Linked DNA regions of Arabidopsis thaliana. The protein of the gene in region 1 interacts with the protein of each later gene in a pairwise test. Each region holds a gene or a part of one and is shown on either strand. Other genes may lie near its edges.

Evidence for each region.
Region 2: the proteins of AT1G73920 (region 1) and ERD2 interact in a two-hybrid assay, tested with the Arabidopsis thaliana proteins (one large-scale study listed by BioGRID).
Region 3: the proteins of AT1G73920 (region 1) and BTI2 interact in a two-hybrid assay, tested with the Arabidopsis thaliana proteins (one large-scale study listed by BioGRID).
Region 4: the proteins of AT1G73920 (region 1) and SPX1 interact in a two-hybrid assay, tested with the Arabidopsis thaliana proteins (one large-scale study listed by BioGRID).

Annotation. Positions count from the first base shown.
Region 1 is NC_003070.9:27,788,724-27,795,656, reverse strand, and holds AT1G73920 (alpha/beta-Hydrolases superfamily protein), read right to left. Parts: upstream 4,921-6,933; 5' UTR 4,464-4,920; coding exon 4,423-4,463; intron 4,062-4,422; exon of another isoform or gene 4,057-4,061; coding exon 3,883-4,056; intron 3,799-3,882; coding exon 3,402-3,798; intron 3,304-3,401; coding exon 3,005-3,303; intron 2,911-3,004; coding exon 2,842-2,910; intron 2,743-2,841; coding exon 2,686-2,742; intron 2,261-2,685; coding exon 2,208-2,260; intron 2,118-2,207; coding exon 2,042-2,117; intron 1,908-2,041; coding exon 959-1,907; 3' UTR 729-958; downstream 1-728. Other genes in the region: AT1G73930 (polarity axis stabilization protein), read left to right, coding at 149-310; ARP4A (actin-related proteins 4A), read right to left, coding at 5,357-5,534, 5,687-5,760, 5,848-5,994, 6,124-6,215, 6,352-6,364.
Region 2 is NC_003070.9:10,257,632-10,263,281, forward strand, and holds ERD2 (ER lumen protein retaining receptor family protein), read right to left. Parts: upstream 3,602-5,650; 5' UTR 3,276-3,601; coding exon 3,185-3,275; intron 3,178-3,184; exon of another isoform or gene 2,931-3,177; intron 2,786-2,930; coding exon 2,520-2,785; intron 1,813-2,519; coding exon 1,697-1,812; intron 1,298-1,696; coding exon 1,224-1,297; intron 1,138-1,223; coding exon 1,074-1,137; intron 986-1,073; coding exon 949-985; 3' UTR 617-948; downstream 1-616. Other genes in the region: AT1G29320 (Transducin/WD40 repeat-like superfamily protein), read left to right, coding at 1-45, 122-179, 273-607. UniProt on the Arabidopsis thaliana protein: Required for the retention of luminal endoplasmic reticulum proteins. Determines the specificity of the luminal ER protein retention system. Also required for normal vesicular traffic through the Golgi. This receptor recognizes H-D-E-L.
Region 3 is NC_003075.7:6,837,143-6,842,093, forward strand, and holds BTI2 (VIRB2-interacting protein 2), read right to left. Parts: upstream 2,895-4,951; 5' UTR 2,437-2,894; coding exon 2,184-2,436; intron 1,863-2,183; coding exon 1,682-1,862; intron 1,593-1,681; coding exon 1,451-1,592; intron 1,361-1,450; coding exon 1,291-1,360; intron 1,204-1,290; coding exon 1,034-1,203; 3' UTR 769-1,033; downstream 1-768. Other genes in the region: AT4G11230 (Riboflavin synthase-like superfamily protein), read right to left, coding at 3,649-3,758, 3,851-3,929, 4,015-4,143, 4,235-4,444, 4,527-4,686, 4,760-4,927.
Region 4 is NC_003076.8:6,800,110-6,804,413, reverse strand, and holds SPX1 (SPX domain-containing protein 1), read right to left. Parts: upstream 2,133-4,304; 5' UTR 1,986-2,132; coding exon 1,716-1,985; intron 1,635-1,715; coding exon 1,508-1,634; intron 1,421-1,507; coding exon 1,047-1,420; 3' UTR 759-1,046; downstream 1-758. Other genes in the region: AT5G20160 (Ribosomal protein L7Ae/L30e/S12e/Gadd45 family protein), read left to right, coding at 82-213, 313-339; HBP5 (SOUL heme-binding family protein), read left to right, coding at 3,522-3,902, 3,982-4,119, 4,196-4,264. UniProt on the Arabidopsis thaliana protein: Plays a positive role in plant adaptation to phosphate starvation. Inhibits PHR1 DNA-binding activity in a Pi-dependent manner.

The DNA.
Region 1 (6,933 bases):
TGCCTGAGAGATGTAAAGATAGATTTTATTTTGTTAGCGATGTACATATCTGCATAGTTAGGTAGAATACGTAATGATAAACATAAACTAGTTCTCTCTTCAGCAGATTTGGAACCATTATGACATATCGAAAACATATATTTTGCAGTCGCTGGAATCAGGAGGAGGTGCAGATTCAGAAGGAACGTTTCAGAAACTGAAGAAGGATCTACAAGCGGTGTTCAGTGTGCTTCCAAAGGACATGCAGCAACTTCTGCTTTTAAATCCACAAAGAGCATCTCTTCTTCAAGATCCATCAGAGCTCCAATGAATGCTCTTCTTCACTACGGCGTCCATGAGGATTCTGATTTCTTTTCTTCCCTTTTCTGTTTCATTCTTTGAACTGTACCAAAGAAAAAAGAGAAAAATTCTTCATCTTCCCTAATTGTTTACTCGTTTTTTCTTTTGAAACATGAGAATCACACAACACCGAAATCACTGATCACTGCTGTATTTTTAACTCTATAACCAGATAAATTTATCCTTCTTGGATCCATTAAACATGTAACTGTAACTATGATTTATATTATTACGACAAATGAATAAACTGTATGACCTACAGAAGTTCTATGTCAAAGTATGCAAAGATTCGCCAACTATATGATTAATTGGTCTCTTCAGATCTTCCAATGGAAAGGAGGAATTTTCTGGATTCATAGCATCTTTCATGACATCATATCATTTTCATGGAAACCAAACCACTAGAAACATTATTATATACCATACGGCTGAAAAAAGCATCTCTCACAACAAGATCATTTCATCAAGGGATCAATCTTTACGGTATATGTACACTATTATAGCCAAGCCATAGGATACTGGCATAGAACACACACATGAAGCTTACACACAACATCACAATACAAAGACACCAAACTCTACGAGGCATTGAACATTGGCCATAGATCGGTTTCAGCTACTACACTACTGTACCCTCCTTTTTCTTCTTCTTCAACTTCATACCTTTCTGACTGGTCTGCCTCTGTTGAACTGGTGTCTGTTTCACAAGCAGAAGCCGCGACATCACATATCTCAAAAGCTCTTCACGGTGAGAGAATGTGAAATCAAGGTGAGCATACTCAAACTCATTAAACGATACATCGACCTCGGCATCTCTCATCACATTGTAGTGTTTCTTCACCATAGAGGAACGGATCACCTTGTCGTTCCTTCCCGCTACTAAATCCACAGGCACATCGATGAACTTGTAAGACTCCCCTAGATCAAGCGGTTCAGGAGAGCCATAAACCTCCATGTTAGCTGATCTGCTTCCATAATCATACATCCTGAATTTACCGGTGTGTTTGATCTGAGCAAGATGTTGCGCCACACGGAAGGAGACAGCTGGCATGTCGTTCATGTTGTAGTGAGGCAATCCTAAGACTCCGACCCAATTCGAGCTGTCTCCACCAACTACATAACTCATTAGAGTTTGGACCAATCCACCAAGAGCAGGATAGTTGTGAAAGTCACGGGCTAACTTGTTCAGAAGCATTCTGAAGAATCTTGTCGGTATGTAGAAGGCAGGCACGATGCGAGCCAAAACTGGACTAATGAAAAGGAATATGTACTCAACTATTGTGAAACCTAAGTTCGAGTCCTCATGAAACCCAGCAGGTGAAAGTAGGATTAGTCGTGAGAGTCTGTGTGGCTTCTCCTTGATTTTTCGAGTAATAACATACATCAGAATTGCAGCACCGCCTAGACTGTGACAGATGGCACAGAGCTTATAAGGCTCCTCCTGGTTGATTTCTTCATCGATATTGGGCTGGCAGAGCTTGAGTTCTGTAGTTTTTATTTCATGAATTTTTTCTATCATCGCTGGGATATCTTCAGTACCGTGCTCGTTAATGGAGTATCGCCAGAACCTGCATTTTGGTCAATAACAATGAACATTTGTACAACTTGCAAATATATACATATGATGAAACTCCACTATCATAAAGAAACCAGACAGTGCATGTAGATTAAGTAAGAAGTGAACTTTAAAGCAATAACTCACTCTTTTGAGGATATGTTCTTGTTCACATGATCTCTTGAAACTAAACCCCGAAAGTTACCCAGAAAAACATCATAGCCTGTAAAGGAAAAGAGTGTAAGAAGCTGATAAATCGTTGCCGTATGTGAATTAATAAAAGATTGGAAAATGAAAAACTTGAGGCTTGAACCTTGGTCATACGCAGCAAAAGCCGGAGATCCAACAACCCCATTAGATACCCATCTGAAGAAAAACACGCAGTAGAGAAAAAGAGTAATCAATAATGTTTCATAGGACATATATTAGATCAAAACATCAGAGGATTATAGGATGTTCCAAGTCAAAACTAAATCTTTAAGAAGGATCGGAGAGAAGGAAAGGGAAAAAAGAAGATGAGATAACTAAAGTAACTGAAAGCAGTATCCCTCCTAATCGCACCAAAAGATTTTCCCAAATCCATTTTTGTGTCTTGAGCAAATCAAACACACACGCAAAGTTGAAGGGAACAAATTATGAAAATAATTTTTTTTTGGGTAAAGAGTCAGGAACATTGAAACGCCTAGGAATGTTATGCTACATGGATATAGAAAATAATACTTCCTCAACTTTTCAGCTTACTAAGTTTCCAAAGTTTACGAGTCATCTAAGAACTAGACCATGAAACTTACCCCATTGAAGAATCCAAAACCCCATGCTGCAAAAAAACAGCTTTCCTTGCATCACGTCTGCAAAGACAAGAGTAGTCAACGATCACATTAAGAGACAATGTAACAGGAATGGAAAGCATGCACAAGCGAGCTTAATATCTAACAAGAAAGTTATACCTTGGTATCCTTTCCAAGACAAGAACATATCCGTCAGATGTAATAACACGAATAGCTTCGTAAGGATACCTACCAAGAGTAGGAGAGAAATCAAGTAAATATCAACTACTTGAGAAAGAGAAAAAAAAAATGGAAGCATGAGACATCGAATCTGCCCCTTTACCCCAACTCTGTTATGACATCTTGACACGTTCGAGTATCAGTGTTCATAGAGTTGTATAAACGTGTGGGACTTTCAACGGGCCTTTCCGTGGGGGATGGATCTGTATCTCCTAAAGTAGCAGTCTGCACAGTTTCATCATAAGCAACCTCACCATGGTTTTCTTTAGGGCTGCGACTGGAAGATGAGAACCATGATAACAATATTGCAAAAGCTTCTGATGGAGAAAGAAGAAGATGCGTAGCCTTGTGAAAAAAATCAAATATTGCTTCTATGCCGATCTCGATAGCAAGATGAAGATCCTGAAAAATAAAGCACATTAAGTAGGACGAGTTTGTCAAAAGGTTTAAAATCACAAAAATGATTGTAACATTGAATATTTGTTCGTGCATCCACAAACCTCAATAACCCCACGTCTTCTATCAGTAGTTCGGTTGGGAACATCATGGTCTTTGCTTGAGTTGGTCTTGCTAATACGAGGTCTAGATGAATGTTGGTGCCTTCTCGGGCTCGCAGGAATTCTTGAACTTCGTTTATAGAATAAACTTATAATATATTGTGGTATCCATAGCAAGATCCGTACAGGAAACATTAACCACCAAAGAATGAACGTAATCCACTCTGTCCAGTGGTTTTCAGAACTTGCAGAAGTGCTAGCCCAAGAGAGGCGTGAGCTTTGAGATGATGGTGATGGAGGCAAAGGACCATCACTATCTTCTCCAGAAGAATACTCCAAGCTTGAAGTATCAGAATCAACAGAAAGCTCATGAATGAACTCATTGAAAGAAGAGACCCCACTGCCATCAAAAACAGAGTAAAATTAGCATATTTTGAAGGCTTGCAAATAAACTAACAACAGAAGAATCATGAGAAATTATTACTTATGCATCCACCGTGGTAAACGTGGTCCACGAAACGTAGGCCTGAGTTCCCAGCCATGTAAGCCTTCAAGAATATTAGCCTTCCCTGGGAGAAGGGTCAACAGAAGAGCTGATACTCCATTTATGCACCTCGCAATGTTATTCAAAGACTCATATGTAACAGTTTTTACTGATCTGCACTAAAAGCCAAAACATAATCAAAAAGCTTATTTAGTTTAAGCTTGTTAGACAACATAAGGGAAAAGAAGAACATCTAACAAAAAGACGAACCAAAAAAAAAGAAATAGTCATTTCACCGACTCAAAGTTCATAGCCAACATCAACTCTAAAAGACGAAGCTTTGAATGAAGATACTAGAATAAAATGGTCTAACAAAACTCAAAAACACAATCTACCAATACTAATTAACAAAGAGACTTACTATAATCACCAAACGATCAAAAACTTAAAAATCTCTACTTGTCATTTATGAAACATTAGAACAACTATAGGCGCATACACAGATGAATCCACTGATGATCGATAAGAAAAAAGACTCACTCTTTGGTTACAGCGAGAGCGTTGTCCACGATCCGTTGCATTGCTTTTTTCTCAAAAATCAGATTTTTTTGTTTTTTTGGAAATATCAGAAAATTTGAAACCAAAAAACAATCTGATTCGTCGCCGTAATCCGAAAATTATCGAGGAAAACGACAAAGAGAAAATTTCTTATCCACCTGAGAAAACACAAAATTTAGCCAGAATAGAAATCTCTCGATGCTAGGAGATATTGGACCAAATCGCGATCGAGATTTAATCCGAACTCAAAATAAGGAAAACACAGAGACCCACAGGAGCCGCGATTCGAGAATCAAAAATCTAAAAAGAAAAAACAAAATTGGAGAGAATCTGACGAAAATAAAATAAAAATGGGAGAATCCGATTAAATAGGGGCACGTCGGCGATTCTTGCCGTCCAGAGACCAGAAAATGGTGACACGTGGACATGTGTTATTGGATAATGACGAATGTGACAAAAACTACGACACGTAAATTCGACTTTTGGATAACGGAGAAGGTGGATTTACCAAACAGGCAAACACACAAGTACATTTGTGGTTGTTTTCACTTAGAAAAATAGTACATTTGTTGTATGTTAACGTTGAAACATTATATTATACGAAGCTATTTCTAAAGCTTCATAATAATAATAAAAAAGTGTTTAATATTTGCCTAAATAAATGAAAAGATACTAATTACTTAATCCCTAAACCCTCTGACTGTCTCCAAAGGTTCTCGTTATCTTGATCTCAAGCAGCTTTTAAGGGCATTTCCTCTGGATGTAAGAAGCTCCATGCTCTGCATACCTGTCATGTACACAAAAAGACTCAAACCCTAGCGATGAGAAGACACTGTTTATACGTGAGTCGAGATCTAGAGAGCAATCCAATGTGTTACTTACTCAGACTTGGAGAACCACATTTGCTGGAATGAGCCTAACGATGCCAGTATACTACCTTACTTCTACCAAGTCTTTCTCGAGGCGTTCTTTCAATTACTGCATTGATGATGTTCCACCAGAATAATCTGTTCCTAATCCAAGATGAACTCAGCATCGATAAAAGGTAGAGAAACCAGACTTTTCTCTCTGCTGCTGTGAGTTCAGAGGAGGCTCTGCAAGTAGCATTGGGTGCTCCGTGGGATCAATCATTAGACAATTCCTTGAATAATAAACATTTACACAGATGAAATCATCAATCAACTATAAATGGAAAAGATAAAGATTAAACAGTTAAAGACAAAAACTAACAGATTCTGCAAATTACCTAAAAGCATGATCCCATACATTGTCCACCATATCCCAATCAGTTACAATGCCATCCTTTGTAGGTGACAATATCTGGAACAGACAAATGTCAACTAATAGAGAGACCTGAAAATTTATCTTCATCCCTAACCATTTTGAAGTTTAATAAAGAAAACTGACCTCCATTTGATCGCGGCGAAAGTTCAAAGCTTGAGATCCTGTGTAAAGCTTCCTTTTGCCTTTTTCTTTATCAGACTCCTTTGCATCCTCCGTGGTGTTTGCAGCATCATCAATATCCATTCCATTTCCATCTATCGCTCCAACAACCTTATAAGTTATATAACACATCAACAACAGCAACAACAAAAAACCTAAATTTCTCGAATTGCTTGCTCTACACTAAAAGGACCTAACTTTAACCAATTGAAAAGAGAGGAAGTAAAGAATGAGACTTACGGAAGGGAAAACAGCTTTAGGGGCATCTTCTCCGGCGTAACCAGCTTTGCAAGTGTGAGAACCTAAGTCTACTACGATAGCTGACACTTCGTCTGTTCAATATATAAGAAACCCCACCAAGGAAAAGTTTACACCTTTACGAGACGAGCTCAAGCGAAAAGGGAAAGAAGTAATGCTGAATTTGTACAATCAGAGAGAGATTTTAGAGAGGACGAAAATAAAACCTACCTCCACCGTACATGGCTGCCGAGAATGGGAGAGGTGAAGAGAGGTTTTCTCTACCGGAGCTTCGTCGGAAGGTTTAAGAACGGAACCGGAAAGTAAACTATTTAAGTGATTTCACTTTGTCTCGGATTGGGAAGTTGAATATAAAGAAGAGAAGGACTAAAACAAACAAACCTGAAATATGAGGGACTAAAACTAAAGAAACTGAAAACAAAGGGACTAAAATAAAAACAAATATGAAAAAATTAAAAATACGCCGTTGCCGGGGATCGAACCCGGGTCACCCGCGTGACAGGCGGGAATACTTACCACTATACTACAACGACTTTGTTGCTCAAGTTTTCTAAATTTGGTATTTCAATTGGTTAACTATTTCAAATTCTAAAAATTTGTTAACGAGATTCCGGTAACATTCTTGTTTTCTTGTGGTCAACAAGAAGCACAATTTACGAATGAACTCAAAAACACCAAATAAGAAACGAGCATGAAGAACTCAAGTGTTGCAACAAATAAACACACATCATGTGTGCAATAACAATTCATGTCCATAGTCACACACACCAAACCAATTGATTCCAACCTTAA
Region 2 (5,650 bases), about 18 Mb from region 1:
TATTTACGTGTTTATGACGTTAAGACACGCCAGCTCATTTCTGCGGTATGCTCTTCAACCTTTGGACTAGTATTTTTTTGGTGAAGTTGAGTCTTACTTATATATCATTGTTTTATTGCAGGTTTTCTTGAAGCAGCATCTTACAGGTCTTGTATTCGACTCGGGCTTTTCTGGAGAAGGTTTGTTTGTTTTCTAATGCCGTTCACAAATCGCATCTATGTTTGTATTCCTCTGTTAGTATGTTTGTAAAATGATTGGATTCATGGTTGAAGCAGAGACAGCTGTAGCAAACACAGTGGCTGAGGCTGCCACAGAGGAGAAGATGACGATCATGGACCAGGAAGATGATGAAACAGAGAAGGCTCCTGTGAAAAGAAAGAAGTCAAAGAAAGAGAAACGCAGTAGAGAAATAGTCTTTGAGGGTGAAGACGATGAGGAGAATGAAGACGAGATTGAGAAGGCTCCGGTCAAAACAAAAAAGTCAAAGAAAGAGAAACGCAGTAGAGAAAAAGTCTCTGAAGGTGAAGAGAAAGACGAGCTAAGAAGCAAGAAGACACGAGAGCACAAGAAGAAGACCAAGATAGTGAAACACAATCAAGAAGACTAGGTTTAAGTTTTGAAGACACATTGTTAACTTGGCTCTGATCTGAGCTACAGTTTTGAACTAAACACTCGCACAAAAGAAACAGAGTTTGTGTGTTATCTATAAAGACTAGTTTTGATAAAACGATGCCTCTTCTCAATGTCTAAAATCGTCGGGAAAGTTACAATGTGCATTAAAGACTAAAAAAAAAACACATTTTAAACAACAATCCTGCATCATTCAATTTTCAACTCATTGTTAGAAAGAGGGAGGACCCAAATGTTAACCATGTCTTTCTTTTCTAATGTCACCATTGCTGTAACTTCCTGGATTTTGATACTATTGCAAAAAAATTCGGGTTCTTTTCAAGCCGGAAGCTTAAGTTTGGTGTTGGTTTTCCAGCTACAACAAAATCAAAAAGGATCCAAAGTCAGTAACATGATCAGTAACTATAAAGAGAATATTATTCAGACTGGTGAGGTTACTTTACCTTATGTAGTAGTAGTAGAAGAAATCCGCATAGAGAGCTGTTTGGACAAGACCAGACACACAAGCTGGAAAATGGATTTACGTAAAACATTAGCATTGAGGAAAAACAAATGGTTAAAATGCATTTAGTGCTTCTTTGTTGAAACATTACCAATCCATCTAGTGAAATGATCTTCTGTGAAATAGCGATAGATCCAGTTGATAATATAGAGTCCCCGATACGCCCTGCATGTTAATCATTGCCCATGTGAGTGCATACAGAATACTTACTCAATTTTGCACATTGAAATATTGTGCACTGGACACAAAGGTATGCATCAGAACCAAATGCATAGCAAGATGTAAAGCAGTCTGATTTCCTTTATAGAAAAAAATATAGTTCAGCTCAGCTTCCAGACGCATTAACATTAAACGGAAAACAATGTCTGGACTTTAGAAATATGCACTGATTTTTAAACACCACAATGACACTGGAGAGCGATTCTCATTGATCAAGTTAACAAGTGCATGAGCAGTGAAAGACACAGTATATATATAAGATAAACCAATTCTAAAAACAAACCCAACAGAGAAGCCAGTGGAGATCAAGTGAGCAAACGCATATGTCTGGTTAGAATTACGTACCCGAGAAAGACAACATATTGCCCAGTCAAATTGTCGACATTCCCACTTCTTTGTAGCAGAACCAACTGGGGAAGGATAGCAACTGCCTCTAAGTAGATAGAAAACGCCCAGAACACCTGAAATGGTTTGGAATGCACAGAATTAACATATTGCACAATGATTCTGGCTATCAACACAGAGAGGCCACAATGCTGCAAAAATACTTAAAGAGTGAAGGCAGTTTGCAAAGATCAGATCTTTACCAAGAGCATATACTGGAAAAATACATATGAAGGTAGTAAGGGAAAACGATCTTAGTGAAGTGCATATAAGGAGTCACTACAGTTTCTTATGACAAGATAATCAAAGAACACAATGGCCAGAAAAGTAACAGCGAGATACAGATGACACTAATCCATGGGGCACCTTATGGAACATAGGTAGGTAGGACACAGAAGATTCCATGAATGGAAGCAAACAAACCTTTCACGATGCAACAGTTTGATATTCAAAGAGTTTCTCAAAACAATCAGCGAGTGAGAGGCTACATAGGTAGTACAACGTTTAAACAAGCAAAAATAAAACTATAAACGCCGGACTCCTAATTGGTTCTGGAAGGAGTTATGTTCAGTTTCATTTACATAGACGATATTCTATTCTACACTAGCCAAGATAGTTACCAAATCCAAATGATATAAGAAGAAGGAACCGAATGAATCAAATGAATAAATAAACCAAAAACAAGATTACACAACATATGCATGTCTTCTAACAACAAGTATTCGCTTTCCTAGTCTCTACAACCTAAAAACACAAAAGCAATGTGAAATTCATATGAAAATACCTCTTGAACTGTGAATTTTTCATTCAGGATAAGTCCCAGTACAAAACACGCTAACACAACATACTGATGACGAAATGTGTCCAGGTCCTTATCGTATGACCTCCTCACAAGTGGATGCCTACGCATACACCAAACGATAGCCAAAGAGCTGGCAATGAAGACAATCTTCATGATGCTGTTGTACAGAGATACATAATCCGTAAACAGATCCAAGTACCGAGTCAAGAACACAAGCGCATAGAGCTCTTGAGTCTTGAGAGAGATTCCTAGCCAACAAAATCCAAAAGTCAACAGCAACAATGTTAGGAGCTGCACAATCTATGAGAAAATCATGAGCATCTACAAGCATTTTCCATTCCGTGTAGCAATTTTCCGTTAAACCTAATGCAATTTAGGGGTGAGAGATCTCACTCGTTTAGAAATTCCATAGTGGTTTCGAAGATTGAGATTTCACAACTATTTTGACTTGCAATTTCAATCTACCAACTCGGATTCGCCTCGAAATCGATAAATAGACCTCAACAGGATTCAAATAAGATTGCATTTGAAAGCTATGGAAAGGAAAACAAAAGGTCAAAGCAAAATGCGATTGTTTCGTCTACGAGCTCGTCTTCAAAATATACACAACACATTTCATGAAAGAGAGAGAGAGAGAGAGAACTCACCAGCGCAAGATTTCGTCGCGTAGATTTTGAGAAGAAGGATTAAGACACTGATCAAGTGACTCATATCGCCAGCAAATCTAAAGATATTCATGGTTGACCAGTAATCGATAGAGACTCACCGATTCCAAAATTTTCCGGGAAAATCCAAAAGAAGAAGAGAAAACGAAATCGAACGAATTTTCTCTCTTCAAATCGAGAGAGAAACGAAGGAAGAGAGAGAAAGAGAGGCAAGGTGCAGCACGTTTCAGGTTTTGCAGAAACTCGTTGAGAGGAGACGATGACGTGGCAATCTGGAACGGTCTTTCTTCTCTAACGTGTGTGCTTACTTATTTCCTTAAAACTGCAAATTAGTCCTTCATTATTCGATTAATTATCGAAGTTTCCCTAAATAATTACCAAAAGAGAGCGTTTTAATTTTCAAAAGTGGAGAGGTGGTGTTATCTGGTACGTCGCACCTTGGTAAACTAGAAAGCGCCAGCTATCGGTGGGTCTATATTGCATCATATTAAGCCACGTGTTAATAGAACAGTGATGTGGCAGCTTCGTACGCGACATGGTGTGGTGTTTAACTTCAATTTTAATTCCTCGTGTTATCCACGTGTTTTGTATTTGAGAAAAACAGTTAGAATGGACCGGTTAAGAGTTGGTTATTAATAGATATGGGCCTTCTGTTATTATTTATATGGGCTTTAGCTCTCTGTGATAGATTAATACCCAATGTCATACCATGAACATATGCAAACATGTTTTAAAATAAAAAATTGAATGTTGATTTTTTTTTTTTTTTTTTTTTGGTTATGGAACGAAATAGAAGTGTTTACAAACTAATGTGATTGCAAATATGTTTTTTTTTTTGGGTGTATAATAATATTTGTTCTACGGTTGTTTTGGGTTAAACAGTATAGGATTTTGAGATTTTTGTGCTAGCTGTTGTCCTGACTCCTTATGATCTAACTCATTTTTTTTTTTCTTTTTTGCAAAGATGATTGAAATGTATAGTTTAGTCCATAAAATTATAAAATGATATTCAATGCTTCGCTTCAACGTTCAAGACTTCGTTTTTCTAGTGAACTAATAGACAACCATGAAAATGATGTATGAACGTCATTTAAAACAAGAATAAATTGTATGAACGTCATGACTCATGAATATAGAGGACACGAGAAATTAAACATGTTTGTTTTTTCTTTATCGTTAGTCAAAGAAAACCTACAGTATCACTAATAATACTCTTACGTTAGACTCCGTGGTCGGTCCGCTTGTTGCCTGGAGTGTTCGACTTTATCGATTATAGAGAAGTTCTATATATAATTTTATTTAATGGCGTATTTTAAAAAATCAACTATACCATTTTCAATTGTGTATAGACTATTGACTATAGATTATAGAATTTTTCAATGGCCACTAATCAAACAGTTCTGAAATCAAACAAATAGCTTTTCTGACTACATTGAAACAGTTAAAAATAGATAACATCACGTGACGGGATTATCTATGCTACAATGAAACTACGGCAATCGACAAAGTCGCTGCTTTTGTAATTTCATGTTGTGATGATGATTAAGGTGGTTCAGACGTGTGGTTTTATAGGAAACCGACTTTGTTTACATTTACAATAATTTCTTACAATTTTTAGAAATTTTGAACGTTTTACGATGAACACAATAATTTCACATGTAAATGTAAATAGTATCAAACAAAATCATTTTGTAAATTGTAAGCGCAAATACCAAACAAAAATGAAATGAACATGTAATGTAATATGGTATTTTTGCTTATAAAAGAAGCATATAATGTAACAAAGAAAGTTTTTACTACACATTGCAAAAATATGAAATAGTTTGATGGTAAACTGATCACATAGAAAAATGTTTGAATTTAGTTGGGTTAGCTTTAGTGGATTCTTTAGTTGTAATTTGCAAAACGCAAAACTTGGTTAAAGAAAGTGAACTTCCCTTTAGCTTAACATTTTTCTACACGCGCCTTCAATGTTTCAGCGACACGTTGCACTTGCATCTTTCCAGAGTCAACGCTTCACTAGCATAGGTTTCTTCTTAGAGCAAAGAGATGTTTATTGTCTGATAATAAAATTTACTCATTGTAACATGTGTTTTAATTATTGGAATCTTTAATAGTGTAATGTAACATTTAATTTCATACAAAAAAACGTATAATTTTAAAACATATACTATTATTACTTCATGTTAACTTATAAAAACTTCGTTGTAAAACTTTGGAAAAATCGATAGCTAAAACTTGTTTTTGTTATATTATAGTAATTGGAACAATCGGCAAGTTTAACATACAAAACACTAATAATCGAAAAAATGGCAATAAGAAAAACAAAATAGAACCAACACCGTAAAAATCTTATAAAAACATCATGTATGCATTTTTTAATCATTCCAAAATCTAGAAATGTGGTGGTGGATAAGAAAAGTTTAAAATAATTGATTTGATCATGTC
Region 3 (4,951 bases), on another chromosome or scaffold:
CTAAATTATATAATTCATAGATGGTTCATTTATGCAATAATAATAGTTATCTGATTCCGGGAACATATGATATGGCCATTCTTTTGTTTAAGAAAAAAAAAAAGAAAAACCATTAATGAGAACATGTGTTGAACCAAAACAATTATGACAAGTTTGTGAAATGATCCTGTTGTCACAATTATTTTGTTGAAAGATAAGAAGTGGAACCCATTATATTATTATGTTTCAGGATTCACCATTTGATACAAATTGATCTTAAGCGTTTTAACTTTTAACTAGTTACTTATTTAGCTGATTGTTACCTGAGAAACATAAGACCGTTTAAGAAAAAACAAAAACATGGTTAAATGAGAAAACATAGTATAAAGGAAAGAAAAAAGAAGGTAATTATAATTTAAAATTAACAAAAATATAAATTGTCAGCAGTGGGGTTTGAACCCACGCCCTCGTAAGAGGACCAGAACTTAAGTCTGGCGCCTTAGACCACTCGGCCATACTGACATTTGTTAATATTCATACTTATTACATATATATAACCAGTAAATATACAAACATGTTATATTTTTATTTTTTGGACAAATAAAGTAACAAACACTTAAAAAATGAGCTCAGAGAAAATAAAAATCTAAATTGTCAGAAGTGGGGTTTGAACCCACGCCCTCTTACGAGGACCAGAACTTGAGTCTGGCGCCTTAGACCACTCGGCCATCCTGACTTGTTTGATATCAAGACATACTACAAATATATAATCGAGAAAAAACGATATTTGAGTAACGTACCATATTAGAAACACAGAAATCAATCAGTACATTAAAAATATAGATCAAGAGAACGACTACAATCATTGTGCTAATGCCACAAACCACTCCAAAAACAAAGCAAAGTTGTCAAGTAAAATTTGGGTTGAGATCTAACACATAACCTTTTAGATTACCAATTCACAACACAACACAACCCACGTGTATAAAAACCAGAGCATTGTGCACATTGCACTCCAAAGAAAACCCACACAAAACAAAAACCCCAAAAAAAACTAATCCTTCTTCTTGTCTTTCAACGGTCCTCTTGGGATTTTGCTGAATACCTTTGCGTCCAACACAGCGTATTGCTTCTTCAACTCAGCCATTGCTTTCTCACCGTATGAGTCTACTTTGTCTTCGTACTTGTCGTAGAAAAGAGGAACAGTGAAGAGCAGAACCAGAGCTGGACCAAATCAATAACCGTTCATCAGCAATGTCAGAATAAGAGAGAAGGCAGAAGCAAAATACTTTTAGCAACAGTAAGTGTTACCTATGTATGCCAATGTCAAGAAACTATAGCAGCCGCCCAAGATCGATAGAACCCACAATCCGGCAATAGCCTAATTCAATCAAACAGTACAATAAGTGTCAAACTTAAGTGAGACATCGAGAGAGGAGTAACGAGTAAGTCCAGGACAGTTTAAACATACAGAGAGGAACTTCTTGATATCCCTCCCCGACGCAATCTCACGAAGAGAAGAGATCCCACGGTTGATTTCGATTCTAAGACCCGAAGCAAGCTGAAGAAGAGGTTCTTCAGGGATATGAACTTCAGGAATCTTTGGTGGAGACCTGAAAGAGAATGAAAATTTGGTAACGAAGATGAGTCAAATAAGCTTGACAACCTTGACCTGTTTCATATGATTGACCACAAAACTTACTTGTGAATGAACATAGTGGCATTAGACCATAGAAACAACACAGCAAGAGCAACGATCATAACGTGACATAACAGAGTAAGAAGATGATACTCCATCAATTCAAATAGCACCCATGCCACTGTAGCACCGCCAAATACACCTCCTGACATTTTCTTGTCCTTCCACATAAATATATCTGCCGCTGCAATTAAAAAGATCACCAAATTAGGGTTTATCAATCACGAAATAAGAACCATATCATCAATAACTACAAGAATCTCACAAGATCATTATACACATTTCCAAAAAAAAAAAAATCAATTCCATCACAAATTCTCTCAAACTAGTCAGAAATCAAAATCGAAATCGAATTCAAATCAATGTAAACCTCTATGTAGATTCAAACGATCTTCTTCACGGATCCCTTAAACTAGTGAGAAAATCAAACAGATCAAGCCAACGCAAACGAATTCGTTTTAAAAAACTGAGAACAAATATCGAAACGGGATCAGAGTAAACATACGTTTTCCGCCGCCGAGAACCTTATGAACAGGTCTCTCTCTTCCGAACAAACGATAAACCTTCGATTTCAAAGACTTTGGAGACGATGACGAAGACTTCTTCTCGTTTTCGTCATCTGATGATGATGAAGACGACGAATCACCTTTGTGATGGATCTTCTCCGATAACTTCTCCATCAACGATTCCCTCTCTACAACCTCCACTGCTGGATCCAAATTAGGTGAAGATTCTTCATGCTTATGTTCATCCGCCATTGTTTCCGATTCAAGAGAAGAAGAAGAACGATCAAAGTTATTGTTCTAGCGTTTTCGTTACACCTCTGAGAAGAAAGATCTCGAAGTCGAATGAAAAAACCAACAATAAAAGGAGGAAAATTAGAATAAATCTGAGCCGTTGAATATTTTGTTTCTGATCTGATCCGTTGGTTGGTTCGGATCCAAACCTGCTGCTTCCTTAACTAGAGCGATGCTTAGGAAAAGATAAATGTCGTGGGGACATATAAAAAGTGTTTTCACAGGACCGAGATGTTAACGCTGTTAAGGATAACGGCTTTTTAAGTCACGTGTAATTAACGGCTCTGTTATTAAAATGGCTATTAAACTTTTCTGGTTCAGGTGTCACGCGGCTGGACAAAGAAACGGTCGAACCGGTGGTCATGTGACACGTGGTTGAATCGTAGCCGCTTGCTTATGTGACTCATGTACTTTCGGTCTGCATTCAAAAGACAATGATAATTTAATTATCTTGACACTAAATTAAAATAATATTTTGCTGCTGGCCAAAAAACTAGAAAATAAAAATATTAGAGAAGTAGGAACCGTCTCTTGGTTAAAAGAAGTGTTTAAAAAAGAATGCTCTAGAAAGTGAAAAAGCATTTAACTTGACAGCGTTAGCTCGAGTCGTAATATGGGCCCAATGAGCTAAAACAATGATGAAGCCCAGTTACTTTCTCATGTCCAAGAAAGCAAATATGATTCAAAACCGAAACCATGATTCTAAACCGGTCAAGAACCAAGGAACAGTGAAATTTTTGAGGCTTTTGAGTCAGTTCGGGTTTAAAAAGACCCTTTTCCCCAGCTTTCTTCATTCATTTTCAAGTTGATAACCAAATGGGCCAAACTAGTTATCGGCCCATAATAATAAGAGAGCTCAAAGACAGGCCCAATAATAAGTGCTCAAATTTGAAAACAATTGAACAGACAGAACCAATCATCCCAATGATCCCATCATCCCCCTTTGTTTGAATTTCTCATTTTTACTCCTTTACACTCTTTTTTTCTTCACAAGCTTTAACTGTGACTTTTTACATTTTTTAACAGTCCTACTCTAGATGAAATGGTTAAAAGTTGGTATTTGTGATACACAAAACGAAAAGAAAACACAACAAGTAGGATACGAGAACGAACATGAACATTGATTCATTCATTCAAAAAACCATAATCGTGGGGGATTAATCCTTTTACCAGTTAGAACTGTTCTTTGTGGAAATCGAACCTGGTAATTCCCGTCTGGTTAAATTCATGGCAGAGTGTTGAAAGTTCCTTCCCCAAACTTGGAACTCCACAATAGAACACTCCTGTAACAAACAAAAAAACATTCTTCAGACAAGGCAAATATACACCGCGATATCGAATATCATTTCAGTGAACTGATGTTTCTGTGTGTTACCAATTCTTGCGTTCCTATGTTTGGTGCTAATCTTTGATAAAACTTTCTTCCATTTTGGCCTCCCAAAATGTGTCCTTACCTAAAATAACCAAAAGTTGTTATACAAGATCAGAAAAGAGTGTTGTTTGTGATAAAGTAATCAACTAATCATTAAAGATCATTACCTTGGTTCCTGAAAAAATGTCGACGCCATTTTTGGCATGGTTTAACGTTTGGATCATAGTGAGAAGATTGGATCGAGTATCTCCTTCTTCGTAGACGCTAGTCAAGTAGTTGTGCATCTCAATAACACCCTTGTAGTTGTTCACAAGACAAATACGTCAGTGAGTAACTTGAAATCATACAATCTTTTGAATTTAAAATGAATAAGTGTATTGTTTTTACCTTTCTATCTGAATCAGCAATCTCGTTCATGATTTCTTTGAACCAATCGAACGAGCCTTGTTCTCGTGTTACCCAGTAAAAGTAAGCATTCTTGGTATTCAGCGTCTTCCGTTGAGTTTGCGGAATCCGACTCGCAGCTTCTGAGTTTAAGCAACTGAAACTGTGATCCGACGAGATGTTGCTGTTACTACAACTACCTGAGATGCATTCCTGAGAATATAACATAACTCCAAAAAAGTTTAGTTGAGATTCTGTTACTCATCAACAAGGTTTTTAAGCTTGTTATACTCACAGCTTGTTCCTGTTGCTTAATAATGTTATTGAGTAGATCTCTCAAAATGCTAACGAAAGGTGTTGCGCCGATTCCAAGGCCAACCAGTAATACCACATCATACTTCCAATGGTCTTGCGCTGGAGCGCCATAAGGTCCATCTATCAACAGCTCTGGAAAACTATATTACAAGAGAGAGTATCAAAATTCACATTCTGAGAATAATATATTGAATTTTAAAGAATTTTATGCACCTTCTTTGGTTTGGTACATCTGCTCTGAGAAGTCCGCTTTTTCCAGCTTCAGGGGCATGACATACCACTGAGAATGCCTTCTTAATCCCTTCTGTCCAATCACCGCGCTGACGAATGTGAATGCTGAGATAATCATCTCCAGGGGAAGAAGTAATAGAAAATGGATGCCTGGAGATGGAGTTTAGGACCGAG
Region 4 (4,304 bases), on another chromosome or scaffold:
TATGTTTTTGATTCTGTAATGCTTTGTTGTTCTTATATACTAGTTTTCTATATTCTTACTTTCTTTGTGAATGTTTTGTAGAATGTTCCTTATGTCTTTGTGCCTTCAAAGCAAGCCTTGGGAAGAGCCTGTGGTGTGACTAGACCTGTTATCGCTTGTTCAGTCACATCTAACGAAGCTAGTCAATTGAAATCACAGATTCAACATCTCAAGGTAACTTAGCCCTCACTTGTGTACTCTCTTTATAACCTTGAACCATCATTGATTCCACAGAATTGGTTAATCATTAACTCTTTTTTTACATTTCTTCAGGATGCTATTGAGAAGCTTCTGATCTAAGGCATTCTCTGAATTGATTGCTCGGTATGATGGGTCTCCGCGAATGGGAAGGCTTTGACTGAAGTTTTGTTTAGGCAACTACCAAATCAAAAACCGTCCATTATTCTACTATCTTCTCTTCAAGTTTGTAACGTAATTCACTTTTCTGCAACTTGGTTTCTTAAGAATTTGTGTTGGTTTCTGGTTTTGGTTTGTAGCGAATCATTGTGTTATTTATAAGAACTTGTTTTGATATCTATCACAAAACGAACAAAAAAATTGAAATAAAAATTGAAGGACTTGAATTGAGATTGAATACGAAATCAATTGGTCTGTTGCATTATGCAAAGTCTTACCTTGAATTGAGATCGAGTCACTAGTATCATTTGCAGTCATCATTTCTTCTTGAAGAGGATTATGAACTTGTATATGTAGTAGTAGAGAACTTGAAATATCTAGCATATGACTTTGGAAAAGAAGAAATCAATAATTAATCTGAAGTGGTATATATTACATCAACTACAACACACCCAACACAGAAACAAAGTTACATTGCAGTTTTGTGTAACCTAAGGACTTATGACCGACCAAAGATGATATCCAGAAACATGATCCTATAGTTTCTTCTGCCTTTTTGTGTACATTGATGATAATGTCTTGTTTAATCTGTTAGCTTCTTCTATTGTATAAAAAAGTGGAATAGAGCGAGTGTGCCTCTGTCTCACTCTCTATTTGGCTTCTTGCTCCAACAATGGAATCTTCTTCCATGTCTCATCTAAGCCATTTAACTGTAGAGGCGGCAATGAAAACACACTAACAGTAGAACTTCCACTCCTGATCTCCTTCAAAACCCGCAAGGCAGCGATTGTGCTCTTCATATGAAGACTCTCCATGAACTTATGCTCTGATAACTCTGCTTGGATAATCTCAGACTCAGTTTCGTTAGCAGGGAAGATCTGATCAAGCATTGCCTCAGATTCCTTGACAAGCTTGAACAATAAGTCAGTAGTGTAAAAAGGTTGCTGAAGAACTTTCTGGATGAAAGGTAAACGCATGAGATCACCAGTTCTTTTGTCATACTTCTTCAGTATCTTAACCAATCCTGTTGTTTCAACAAACCATTCATCAACGTTTTGTTCTACTACTAATAATAAGATTAAGTCTTAATGAGGCAATTAAATTAAATTACCAGTGTAATTAAGAGCACTGTAATTCTCAAGAAGAACCATTTCTCCATGGAAATCAACAATCTCCTTCCTGATTTTTATCATCTTCTCCATTGAATCCTTAGCTTTCGCAATTCTATCTCTAAATTCCTGTTTTTGTACAGACAGAGACACATTAGAAAAAGAGATGATCATTTTTAGGAATCGGATTCGAAATGTTGTTTATATTACCTTTAGTCTGATGATATATTCTTCTTCCTTCTCAACGAAGAAATTGTTGAATTTCTCCAACTCGTCTTCTAACAATTGGATGAAATTGATCTCTTCTTTCGATATTCCGACGGAAAACTCATCTAAACGGAGTCGTTTAACGGGACGATCGGCGGTTTTGGAACCGATGAGTTTGAGTCGTTTTTTGAGTTCTTTGTAAGACAAGAACTTGTCTTGCCATTCAGGAAGAGTTTGCTCGATCTGATTGCTGAGACTCTTACCAAACTTCATAGCTCTTTTATTTTCTGGGAAACTTAAGTGAGAATGATGAATGAAGAAGAAAGAGAGGGGGAAGAGGTTTAGAGATATAAAAGGGATTAAAAAGAATATTCTTAAGGTTTCTAATTAGAATATCCTTTTTTCTCTGTCTTTCTTTCGGGAGAATATCTTCCTTTTATTCCTTTCTTATTTATTACTTTTTCGTGGTTATCTGTGGGTGAGATTATAACACATGCCTATGTCAGTTCATAAATATCAATCACAACTCACATGCCAATTTATTTATCCAATACTTATTATTACAGATTTGCTGTCCAAAAAAAGAAAAATAATATTACAGATTTTATATCCATTTATCTGATTCATTTTTTTCTAAATTCGTATGGGTATCGTACTAATATCTTGATTCATTTTCTTTAGAGTTTGTACTGTATTCATCTGATATTTAAATATTTTACGATATTAGATTTCCTTATTTGGTATTGTCTATATATGTTCATGATATCTTCATAACTATGTACAGTATGTATTAAATCATCTTTTTAAAAATATATGTCTATTTATACATGCAGATACACTATGTAGTAGTGATTTTTTATTTTTTTTGCATTTTTAGATTTAATCAAAAACGAATTGCAAAGTAAAAAAAATGAATATTGGATATAGTATTTACAGTTACAGATATCCTCAAATCCAGCTCAGATTGTCGTCATGACATAAATACGTGGACGTTTGGTCTTCATGATCATATCTGTCTCTCCATGATGATGGCATGATCAATAAATAGTAGTTCAATACTACAACTAGTTTGACAATTTACCCACTTTTGATTTTCTGAAAAGATTTAACAAATACGCAAATGGGTCAAAAGTAGTTGGATTCCATGGAATATTCTTGATAGGAAAAGGGTATAAACCTCGGCATCTTTCAATCTTTCTTTAAAGCACCCCCCAATGGACAATTTATTGAATTTTCCCGATTCGCGTCTTAATTCATTCACATTTGCTCATTATTAGCTTCTGATTTTGACATTTAGGATAAACCACCGGTCCATTTGACATTGTCTATATGCAGCAAATTCTGCTGATTTTACAACTTGTCAATTTATATTTATTAAGAAGACTATCAGTTTATTAGTCAAACAACCAAAGTCCAAATCCTTATGACATGGTCGTCGTATTCTTTACAATCTTTGACGGATAAACTAAAACAATATTTACTTTGCCGTATAATCGAAACTTTCGTGTCTCTGTCTCATTTCTGGGTACGTATGTAATTAATGTATGCAAGCAAAGTAATCCATTGTTGGAGTTAAGTTCCCTCCAGTAGCCCAAATGGAATGGGCCTCGTTAAGTCAAAGTTCCATAATGAAAAAAGCCTAAAGAGTGAAAAAAAAATCTGAATTTTAACCGAAACAAATTTAGTTTGGTTCGTAAATAAAACCAGAACCAAACCGAACCGACAGTACCAAAAAAGAACCGATTGTTAAATGAAAGCGAACAACCACAAGAAATAAAATAGAGCAGAAAACTTTTTTATCAACGATCAATGGCTACCGTTAATCAGCAGCTTTACCGGCCAATACTCACCGCCGTCGGAAGTGACTGCCGGCGGCATGTAACCACCCGTTTCCTCCCTGTTCCGAGACGCAACGTAACCACTCGTCTACGGCCAATTTTGAGTCTTGAGGTGGGCAAGGAAGTGGCTTCAGCACCGTCGACAGTGAACATGGAAGAGCTCGTCGGATTCTTGTACGAGGATCTTCCTCACCTTTTCGACGACCAAGGAATCGATAAAACGGCGTACGATGAGCGCGTGAAGTTCAGAGACCCAATCACTAAGCACGACACCATCTCTGGCTATCTCTTCAACATTGCTTTCCTCAAGAATATCTTCACTCCTCAGTTTCAGCTTCACTGGGCTAAACAGGTCTTTGCTAACTTTTGTTTATCATTTGATTTCTTTAATTCTAGTTTTTTTTAAGTTCACTGATGCAGCTGATATATAGACAGGTCCATATGAGATCACTACGAGATGGACAATGGTGATGAAGTTCATACCTTTACCATGGAAACCAGAACTTGTCTTCACTGGATTATCAATCATGGAAGTTAATCCTGAAACTAACAAATTTTGTAGTCATCTGGTATGTATGGTTGCCATGTCCTTCTTCCAAAATCTATTGTGGTATGGTCTACTTATTACAAGTAGATGTTGTGCAGGACTTGTGGGATTCTATCAAGAACAATGACTACTTTTCTCTTGAAGGTCTTGTTGATGTTTTTAAGCAGGTTGCTTTCTTGGCATTTGGCATGAATTGAGCCCCCTTAG